2 linked regions of the Schizosaccharomyces pombe genome follow. The protein of the gene in region 1 interacts with the protein of each later gene in a pairwise test. Each region holds a gene or a part of one and is shown on either strand. Other genes may lie near its edges. The genes, in order: atg11 and dbl5.

Region 1 (5,828 bases):
TCATGAGGATTTAATCCTGACTTTTTTCCATGATTCTTATGCTTTTCACTGAAATCCTTGAATGCTAAATTATTAGATAAATAGAAACCAAAAGCTAACCTTTATTACTATTGTGTTCAATTTCATCAATAGTTGCATGAACTCCATACTTCTGAGCGACTTCGCTGTACACAATTGGAACAGGTTTACTTAAATGAAGGATTGTTCCAAAAGCATCGAACGTAACCAACTTGATCTTTTGGATATTTTTTGAGGGAATCATAATTCCAGGTTGTACTTTGATGGGACACACTACACAAAGCAATTTACATAAGGTACTCCTTACCACCAGTGCGTTGTTCGGTGTGATAAATAATATTTGCAAATCACTTTTATTGCGAGCGATTGCGTTCTACATATTAAATAATATACGAATAGATTAAAAGTTCATTAAAAATTTATCATGTTACAAGACGAGAGACACGCTACAGCAATAGTAGTCGTTAATTTACGTCGGATACCTTACTAGGCGAGACCAAAAAACAAATTTCAGTAAATAATGCCATAACAGATCAAAACCTGAAAAAATAGAAGTATGATAATACCAAATGTCTGTCATATAGAATCAGTCCCACAAATACAAGCAAAGAAAAAGCAAGTGAAGGTATAAGCTAGGTCACATAATGATTTAAAATCTTTCATCGATAGCTTCCACTAAATGCCATATTGTACCTGAAGGCAGGCGAAGCCATTTATCCGTCGAATCATCAGCAGTACGATCTTCAATGGAAGTTACCCTTCCTAACATCCAGTCGCGGCTTTCAAGTTTCAAATGCGGTTGAGTGTTCAAATAATAATGAGGAGCGTTAACATTAAAAGCCGCCCACACCTTTTTGTTACCGGCGGTACGTCGAGTAGGCAAAAACAAGACCAAGGATCCTTGTTTGAAATTCCTTAATGAGACTTTACTTTGAGAGTCCAAAATAGCTTTCAGCGCCTTGTCCCTGTTAGATTGAAATTCACGTTTCCAACGAAGTTCATGATTATGTGCTTGAGTCAAAACACTGACAACAAAGTTATGGAAAGAGTCAAAATCTAAAGAACTCATTCTGTTCAAAAATTCCTGGAAATTCCTATCAGCATCCTCCCCATCCATCCAATAAAGATACTGTAAATCTTTGGAATTAAATTCAATTTGGCGATCTGGAATCGATGCATGGCCATCTCTTTCGTTATCTGAATCAAATCCAGGCTGAGTAACGCATTCCCGAAGAACAGACTGTAACTCATTACACCGGAATACAATGGTATAAAGTTTCTGAGTTAATATCTTACATTGTTCTTTTCGATTCTCGGAAAGTTTGAGTAAATCAGCTTTCTCTGCAAGAGCATAATCTCTCTCTTCAATAATATGTTGTACTGCTTCGGCATCTTTTGCAAGAGTAGCGTATTCGCCCTTTTGCTTCAAACTCGTGAGTTGAAGCTTGAAAGCATTATAAAGTTCTTGCAAGCTATCAACTTTGCCCTCAAATACGGAGTAAAGGTTTAATATGTTCGGTTCATTAGAATGCATCTCCTCGTTTGATTGCTGTTCTGCAACTGCCGCTTCATTTTTCGTAAGCAGTTTCCGTGTTGATGAAAGTTCCTCCTGTAAATTTTCGTATTTTTGTAGCACTTCCTCATTTTCAGTTTCGAGGTATTGGATCTTTTCTTCCTTCCCTTGAAGCTCAATTAATAAGTCCTCATTTCTTTTATTTACCAAATCTAATTCGTTGCGTAATTGATTAACCTCATCTTGAAGTCGTAATATGTGGCTGTCGGTAAAAGAAGTTTTGCGATTAGTTAATTTACGAATTACGTTTAGAGGCACAATACTAGGGGAAACACGGTAAAATGGCTGAGAAGAATTAGACTGCTCATTGATGGGTGGATGTGGAGCATTTGGAGATAAACCATCATTGTTAATGTTATAATTAAAGCCGTTTTGATGGCTTAACATTGCCTCTAAATTATTGCAACGATTTTGATACATTGCCAATTTTTCATGTAATGAATTGTTCGCTTGAACCGTATTGGAAACGGCTTCTCGAGGACTTCCAGGAAAGCCCAAATATTCTGAGAGCCGATTGCTTAGCATTTGATGAAAAGTTTGGTAATTCGGATGTGCTTGAATATTGAGTAAATAATTAGAAATTTCGTCACGAGTTAAAACTGGTAAGTACTTTAGCTGGCCATGATTAAAAAGCAAATTAGAGAAATGACTGAGCCAAGACTTCCTAAGAGAAAGCTCCTTCTCCTGGTCTAAAGGAAGAGAACTATCATGGCTTACATTGTATGATTCCTGCCATTCAGTCCTCCTCAGTGCCTCCATTAAAATGTCGATATATAGCGAAAAAATGTTTCGAGACTGAGAAAGAACGAATTTGCTTCTGTCAAGCTCTTCTGCTATTTGTCGAAGATATTCGTACAATGCATCATATCTAAGAGAAACCTTATAAAAGGAAAGCCAAAAAGATTTCAAAGATATTAGTGATGACTTTCTAGAACTTTTTAATTCCGACAGATTACTTTGAAGTTTTTCCATGCAATCAGTAATTTCGGTTTCGTAATTACATTTTGGTTTGATTTGAGAAGTAGTTGAAGTTGACTCTATTTTAAGGATCTCTTGCAATATATTGGCTGCATCCTGAGCGACGGAACGTAGATGATAATAAGCATCATCTCCTTCCTTGATTGAAGGAACTTCCTTGAATGGGGAAACGATAATACTATTTGCGGCGCCAATGCACTGTTGGACTCGTTTTTGAGCTTCAGCATAACGAGCTGAAATGGAGTTTAACCAGGAGTCCAATTTAGTCCAATTTGTTGAAAGTATTTTAAGAGGAGTAATGGGTAAAGAACCAGTTGGTAGAGCGAGGAAATCATGAAGTAAATCAGACACAGATACTCGATCTAGTCTTTCGTAGAAAACGAAAAGTAAATCTTTCATACCAGATTGTCTTCTTTGTAAATAATTCATTGCAACTTCTGGAGAAACAATACTAGTAGAATACTCATCATGGCATACGCTTAATTGATTATGAATCTTTGAAGAAGACTCTAAAATATCAGATAATAATGAAAGACACTTGCTGATTTTATCTTTCCATTGATCTGAAGAAGAATCAGCTATAATCCCAGTAAGTACATTAGATATTGGTTGTCCTTTCAGAGAAGGAATAGAAGGAATTTTATCACCATCGTAGGTGAAAGTCAACAAGTTTTGATCTAGTACGTAAATAACCACATCACTTTCACTATTTAGTACGGTTTCATTCAAAGACATTCCGTTCGGCAATAATAGTTTTGCTTCATCACTAAGTCCAATATTGAGCTCCATAATCCAAGCTACAAGATTTTGGGGAGTCCATTGTACATTATCTATGGTCCAACTCTTTCCGGAGAATGAATCATTCAATCGAAAACGCATACTGACCTATTGTATTGCTTAACTTTATCATTCGCGATTCCCCAACATTAAACTTGAAATATTTGATCTAAAAGAAAACTCAATATCAGTTATTTATAATCCGTTGCATATAGTTATTCTCTGTCCTTATATTCCGTTTTGTTTGGTAAGTTGGCGGGTTCTATTTGGTTTAGGCGATTGTTGGGTACTAACTACCAAAAGGAGATTGGCATTGTATGAACACTGAGTTGAAGCTGTAAGACAATACAGCTTAAAATTTCAAATGTCTTTTCATTTAGCTTAAAAAAACAATTTTAATTATTGGTTTTATTATGTTTGTCTACTGAAATATATGTCATATGTAGCCGTATACCCTCAAGCTGGTGGGTTCGGAAACTCAGCCTTAACCAAGCATCTACACTGGGTGTGAACGAAAGTGTTGGGGATGCTAATTTACATTGCGGATTTCATATATTTAATTTAAAGATATCTTCTACTTGTTTACTTTTCATTCTTTTAGAATACAAGTATTCTAAACTCGGAAGTATTTTTCTTGTTTTTTTAACCGCGAATCTTTTGGTTACCGATTTCTCTGTCTTTTATCGATAAAGTTTTTAAAAAATTAAAAAAGTCAAAATTTCTCTACTGTAGGAAAAACTTTTGAGCATCTTTTAGCATATTTGGTACATTTTTTTCTGGCATTTGCATAGCTTGTCCTTTAAATCTTCATTTCTTTATTAGTGGTGATTGCACGGCTCATGTTAATTAATTTGGTTTTAATCTAGGGATTAATTATATTCTTTTTATTTGCATTTCACACTTATTCTTTTCTTTACATTTAGCTTCATTTCTGAAATTCTGAATGGGTGACTTTCAATCACGATATGAGATCCTTGCCGCTATTATGGGTCCTCCCAATACAGCCTCCTTTAAAGAGGAAGAGCATTCGGGTTCCCAAACAAAAAACTATCCTGTTGTGGTAAAATGTATTCAGGAACATGATCCCGTCGATACAACCAATGTGCTTGTAGCTGACGACCTTGATTCGAACTTTGAACCATTTTCGATTACAGATGATTATGGTAAATATGAAAACACTTTAGTAAGCCATTCCTCAACAATCTTAAATGAGCCTTACAACGAATCACCCTCATCATCATCTTCTGATTCCTCTTCTCGTTCTACCTCTCCTTTTTCTCAGTTGTCTTCTCAAAGCCTACGCCTTAATGCGGAGGAGATAGCGCCTTCTAGCTTAATAAATAAGGCCGTCCAATCTACCTTACGTCTTTCGGAGCCACTGGTTTCTCCAATAAAGTGTCCTTTATCCGAGCAATTCATCAATTTTATTAATCAGCAGGATTCTGATAAGGTAGTTCTTATAAGAGGGTTTTTATTACCACATTTGGCTTCTTTAACCACTAAAAACGTTTCCGAACCGGAATTGGATAAACTTAGGCATTCTTTGTATAACTGGTGGGTATCCATTCTTCGACGTTTACAATCTAATATTTCTACTTCAGAACGTATCACATATACAAAGGCCATACTTGCTATCGCCAAGCATCATTGTTGGAACAAAGTGGAACACTCTGCTTTATTGTACTTGGAACACCAATTAATACTTTACGATACATTGACATTTGTAGTTCATCTGCTTTCTCAAAAGTCCTTGCCGTATTCATTAACGACATTTTGTGCGAGTATCTTGGTTCTCTCCTTTTTTCAACTTCCACTTTTTGCCGACCATTTCTTGAGCGCATTAGATGTAAAGAAAAAGTACATTGATGCTTTGGGCTCATCCTTCGACGAAAAAATAATGATTATTTCACATAAGTATCTTGCGCCATTTTTTACTGACCAATTTTCCTCGACTATGCATCCGTATTACCCAAAACGAACTTCAACGCCTTTTACTATAGGTTACAATAGGCAGCCTATTGAATTCACACGAGCATGGATGCGTCGCTTTAAGTCTTCTACAGGTGGATTCTTTTTCGAGTTTTTATCATGCTATCATTCTTTTTTAGCTTTGCAATTCTCTTTCGAATTACCTGATAATGTCATATATTTCGCTCCAGGTTACATATGCTTACATGCTTATCTTCTTGAATTAACCATTTCGGTTATACATATTAGCGACAAAAAGCCATTAATGTTACCTACAGGACATGAGCAGTTTCCATGTAAGACTTTACCAGAAGTAAATCCATCAATGGAAGAATACAATCCTAAGATGCCTGTAACTGCCACGACTTTATCGACTCTTCAACAGTTTGTCGGACATATTAAAGATGCTTTTAAAAAGATTGGGGATTGCAGACAAGAGCAGATGCGTTTATTAGCCGTTTTAGAGCAAGTTTTAATTAATGTTGCCAAAAACACCCCTGCTTTTAATCTTCAA
Region 2 (5,181 bases), on another chromosome or scaffold:
AAACGAAACAGCGAAATCAAGAATATTCACTCTGTAGTCCAATTCCAACCACTTTAAAGACTTTTTAACAAAATAATAAAATTGTTCAAACAAATTTCCAACTAATTCCTTCAAACAATGGCATAAAAAAAGAAGAACGAAAAAACTGAACGAGGCAGTGGATTGCTTCTGACACATTTATTTTGTCACTGCCTTTTTTATTCACCCCAACTTAGCTTTCCTTAAATGTAAGCTACGCAGTTTGGTATCTGATTTACGGATACGTAGAACTGCGGTGAGGTTTTTAGTAATTTCAATATAGCGGTATGCGCCCTGTTAACTAACAATATTATATTTATTGTTATAAGAAGTCTAATAGTATCGAATACCAATATATCTAATAACTAAACTGAGGAATCGAGTCAGCAGTTGTTATCAACGGGTATTCATAATACGGTGGTTAGCGTGTGACATATAATGATACATAACGTAGTGAGTCATAAAACACGCTAAACAGATACCAAACTGCGTAGCTGACATGACACTGAATTTCTATCACTCTTTAACAACTACAGTGGAATATACAGTTAGAACGTACATTTTGCGTTGCTTTCACGAATCCCCAAAGTTTTAAAAAACAATGGCTATAAAAGTAGAGTTACTGTAGGTGTCATATTTTATTACAATTGGTAACCTATTATTGTAGAGGTGGGCTTGACTTGCTCTTCAATAAGCAGAAAGCGTTGTCGTTGTCACTTTCAAACCTTGGCTCAACTAAGTTGGGATCATTGATTGATTATATGGCTCAAATAATAGAAAAGCCTTCTCAAAAAGATTTATTTATTTTAAATGGGACTGTGTAAGTGAACATGGAGTGGTATCATCTTTTTCAGGCTCAAACGATGTTTTAAATGATTTTGCAGAACTAACACTTCCCTGCAGACGTCCGGGGATCATCGTCTTAGTAAATGACCAGGATTGGGAACTTCTTGAAAAGGAAGAATATAACCTCGAAGAAGGTGACGAAGTTGTATTCGTCTCAACGTTACACGGTAAAACAATATTTAGCATTTTTTTTATAATATTTAAAACTAATTGTATCAACTAGGAGGTTAAATGGCAGGTATAATTATAAGACAAAACAAACATGCACAAATATCATTAGTATTGAATTTTTTTTTTTAGTCATAAATCCGACATGTATGCTAAATTTTAGTGTCTTATGCTCTAGAGACCCAAAATCCAAATCACAATTAAATCATTCATCATGAACAGAAACCATAGACCAGGTTAAGGTTACTTGATTTCTCGGTATAATTTTTTCTTCGTTAGAGTTGAGTAATTATGATTCTTCGTCAGAGTCTAGTTGTATTGTACGAGTTCGCCGAGCTTGCCGACGTGGATAGCTTGCAGTGAATACCTCGGAATAGGGTTCAAGATCAAATCCTCTATTCTGGCTGGATGATTGTGAACTACGGAGGCCTGTTCCATTAGTTACAATATTTCCTTCATCCTCATCTGATGAGAATGGATGTTGCCTGGAATGAATATTGTTATGAGAAGGAGAATTATTTGAGGAAGAATTGAGAGAATCCAAACTTTCATTCTGAATGTCAGCAAGCTCTCTTCGTAACTCATCGTATCTTTGCCCATCGTTATAACAGGTCTCAGATCGAGATACCATATTCGTCCCTCCAGAGTCGCGCTCTTCATCGAAGCCGTTCATAATATCAATCTCTTCACTATCTGTGCTATCCAAAGCAGTAATACCATTTCCATTACTTCCATTGACAGGAGCTACGAAGTCATCGTCACTTTCGACAGGAGATAATTGGCTTGTAGCACGATTATCTATAAATCCATCATCAACATCGTACTCACCTGGACCAGAAAAATCAGATTCTAAATCAGACCCCACAAATTCTTCTCCTTCGTCAAATCTCAGCCAATCTTGTGGTACTGCAGTTATTGGCGCATGTCCCATATTATTAAATGCGCGGTTAGTCGAGATATTCCCACCACGGGTGTTATCGCCATTTAGGCTGGAATCACTCTCAGCATTTTCTCCATCCCAAAACCATTCACGACCAGAATCTTGGTCATCCGATATTTGAAAACCGCAATGATCGCAATGGTACGGATTTTCCAATTCCCATTGGCAACGAGCGCATCGTAAAACTCCATCTTCAGAATCAACAAGGATACTTCTTGGGTAATGAGAATCTTCTTGTTTAAACATCCCATCAAACAATACCTCCTTTTGCTTCTTTGCTGGATTTTCATTGATTCCCACAAGTGGGAAGCCACTGTTTGAGGCAGCAACCACATTCATTATTTCATATACAAGATATGCTGGTGAAGGTTGTGTATACAGTTTTTGGCGACAAGTTGGGCAAGATTTTGACTCTTTTAACCAATTTAGAAGACACTATTTATTAGTTTCAATCCTTTATAGAAAAAAAGTAAATCTAGAAACTTTTAAAGATATAATCTTGCTCTTTCAATATTTCACTCACAATGAGGGAATTCAATGATAATGAAAAGTTATTCCAGTGTTAAGCATCAAATTTTCACTTACCTCGTAACAATATGTATGACCGCAATGAGTGGTAAAAGGTCTTTGTAAAGCTTCTGTGCAAATGGGACATTCCAGAGTTTTTTTTATTTTCTGGAACGTTTCGAGCAAAGTTTTTGTATCGGGGATTTGTTTTTTATTTTCTGAATTACTGCTAATGCGAGACTTTTTGTACATTTGAGTTGCATCACTAGACGCAAAAGTTGTGCTGTTGGATTGTGGAATTAATAGAACCTCCATTTTCTCATCGTCCAAGTTATTATTATAATTTTCTTCATCGTCTTCATCCAAAACTACTTGGCGATGAGAACTGCGTTTAACCATTGCGCCCAGACAGATAAATTACTATTGAACTTGGTATGTGAGCTCTAACGTTTCTAATCCGGAGAGAAAGCTTTATCAAAATAATAAGTTTAAATAAAATCCTTTAAAAAAACGAATTATATGCAAATTCTTCAAAGCAAATCAACCATTGATTTGTACTTTATATATTTCTTGTAGATGGCAAATACTCTGCGTATTGCAATGCAGCGGTTTACAACTGCATTATCAAATTCTTCTGGTATTATCATAAATATCATTTAGTGACTTGTAGTCAGTGTAATCTCGGGCATATGTAAATTTATTTAACGTTACAAAATGCGATTGCGTTCAACAAGCATGGCTAATAGCGTTTTCTTGTAGCTTGGATTTTTATGAGGATTATTCACAGATACGCACCGATGGCATTTCACGTATAGTTTTAAGTATAATATTTTCAACCATAGCTTTCAATGTTTCACTCTAAGTAGAATTGAACGTCTCCCGACTTAACTCGTAAATATCGTTGATTACTTACCGGAAACCTTTTTTTGCATCGTTCTAACCAGGTAAATAAATTGAACGAATGCTATTCAAAAACATTCAAGGATTAAATAACATATCAACAATTAGATACTACGCTTATTTACTGTTCAGCATACCTTTCTACTCAATGTCTACAATTCGCAATACACAAAACGATATGTAATAGCACATTAGAAATAAGGAACTGTTTAATTTTTGTTAATCCTTAACGAAAAAACTATCAGCATTTAACTAAATTATCTGTTTACATTATTATTAAAATTATAATGCAATCCCTGCCAGTTCCTCATCAACGCCTTTCCATAGTAATAAGGACCGGGCCACTCATAAAAACATTACCAGTTAAAAAGCATGCACACCAACTTAATATTAATATCTCTAACAGAAAGGACGGAACAGTTTGAATAACAACGACAAAGGAAATGCAAATAAAAAATAACTCTCAAAGTTGGCACAGCCAAAATCCAATTATACAATTCGATTTTAATGAAGGATGAATCAGCAAAAAACACATACTCATTAAAAAGAAATAACATTTAAAAACTACCGATTCGTGTAAACCGAAAGCATTGCCATTTTCGGTCAACAAACTTATGCGTAGCGATCTTGTTCATCAACATAGTTAGACTCAGGCTTAGCACGGCCTTCAGAAGAAGAGGTAGAAGATGTAATGTCGTTACTCGAAGTATCCTCCATACCCTCATTGTCAACGTTTTCAAGATGAGCGGCACTTTCACCTTGAACACCACGAGATTTTTCAAGAACCTCTTGTTGTTGCTTTGCAGCTTGTCCGAGATTCTCGGGCCTAGGCATCCAGGGCTTAGCGCCGGAGAGATACAGTTCGTTAATCTCTTCCAAGGTAAGACCTTTGGTTTCATGGGCAAACAAGAAAATAATACAAGCAGCACACAAATTACAGGCAGCGAAAATATAACCATACTTGAATCCAATGGAGTCACTAATGAAGGGAGTAAAGAAAGTAATAAGGAAACCCCACAACCAGTTACCAGTGGTAGCGACGGCAGCACACTTGGAACGATAACGAATGGGATACGATTCACCAACGATAACGTATGCGGCAGGACCCCAAGTTTGAGCAAAACTGAAAATGAAAAGACATGAGAACACAATCATAACGGCACCGGCACGATGGTTTGAGGTACCATTCTTACGAGTAAGAGCACGATTACCAACAGCTGCGTAAATGAAGAAAGTAATGGATTGCCAAACACCACCAATAATCAATGGCATACGACGACCAAAGAACTCTAGGACGAAAAGACCACCAAACGTACATCCAAAGTTAACGGCATCAAGAATCAAAGCAGAAAGATAAGGAGAGTTCATACCAGTACCCTCAAACACCTCGAAACCATAGTAGAAGTAGTAGTTATCACCGGTAAGTTGTTGAAGAGACATGACACCAAGACCAAGGAAGGTACGATAACGAATATCCGCACCTAGAATGTCACCCCAAGTAGCGGGACCACCGGCCATTTCAGCTTCACAGTCAGTTTTAATGACATGGTATTCCGTTTGAATAATTTCGTGTTCACGAGGAAGAACGTTGTTTTTGCACATAATGTCAAGAGCCTCTTCATCTTTACCAATAGCAATCAAATAACGAGGGGATTCAGGAAGGAAAGAAATACCGATGAACATGATAATACCCCAAAGCAAGTTAATACCCATGGATACACGCCATTGAGCAGTCTTGTGCAACTTGTGAGTACCCATGTTGATACAAGCGGCAATGAAAATACCACCAGTGACAGCCAATT

Evidence for each region.
Region 2: the proteins of atg11 (region 1) and dbl5 interact in a two-hybrid assay, tested with the Schizosaccharomyces pombe proteins (2 studies listed by BioGRID).

What each region holds. Positions count from the first base shown.
Region 1 is NC_003424.3:2,629,922-2,635,749, forward strand, and holds atg11 (autophagy associated protein kinase regulator Atg11), read right to left. Parts: upstream 3,631-5,828; 5' UTR 3,449-3,630; coding exon 668-3,448; 3' UTR 527-667; downstream 1-526. Other genes in the region: SPOM_SPAC7D4.05 (hydrolase), read right to left, coding at 1-64, 100-262; protein ahk1, read left to right, coding at 4,290-5,828. UniProt on the Schizosaccharomyces pombe protein: Involved in cytoplasm to vacuole transport (Cvt), pexophagy, mitophagy and nucleophagy. Recruits mitochondria for their selective degradation via autophagy (mitophagy) during starvation.
Region 2 is NC_003421.2:222,766-227,946, forward strand, and holds dbl5 (ubiquitin-protein ligase E3 Dbl5), read right to left. Parts: upstream 3,054-5,181; 5' UTR 2,879-3,053; coding exon 2,558-2,878; exon of another isoform or gene 2,408-2,557; coding exon 1,322-2,407; 3' UTR 1,096-1,321; coding exon of another isoform or gene 1,088-1,095; 3' UTR 1,032-1,087; coding exon of another isoform or gene 922-1,031; 3' UTR 839-921; coding exon of another isoform or gene 686-838; 3' UTR 643-685; coding exon of another isoform or gene 620-642; 3' UTR 588-619; downstream 1-587. Other genes in the region: ubiquitin-like protein modifier Urm1, read left to right, coding at 620-642, 686-838, 922-1,031, 1,088-1,095; hexose transporter Ght8, read right to left, coding at 3,992-5,181.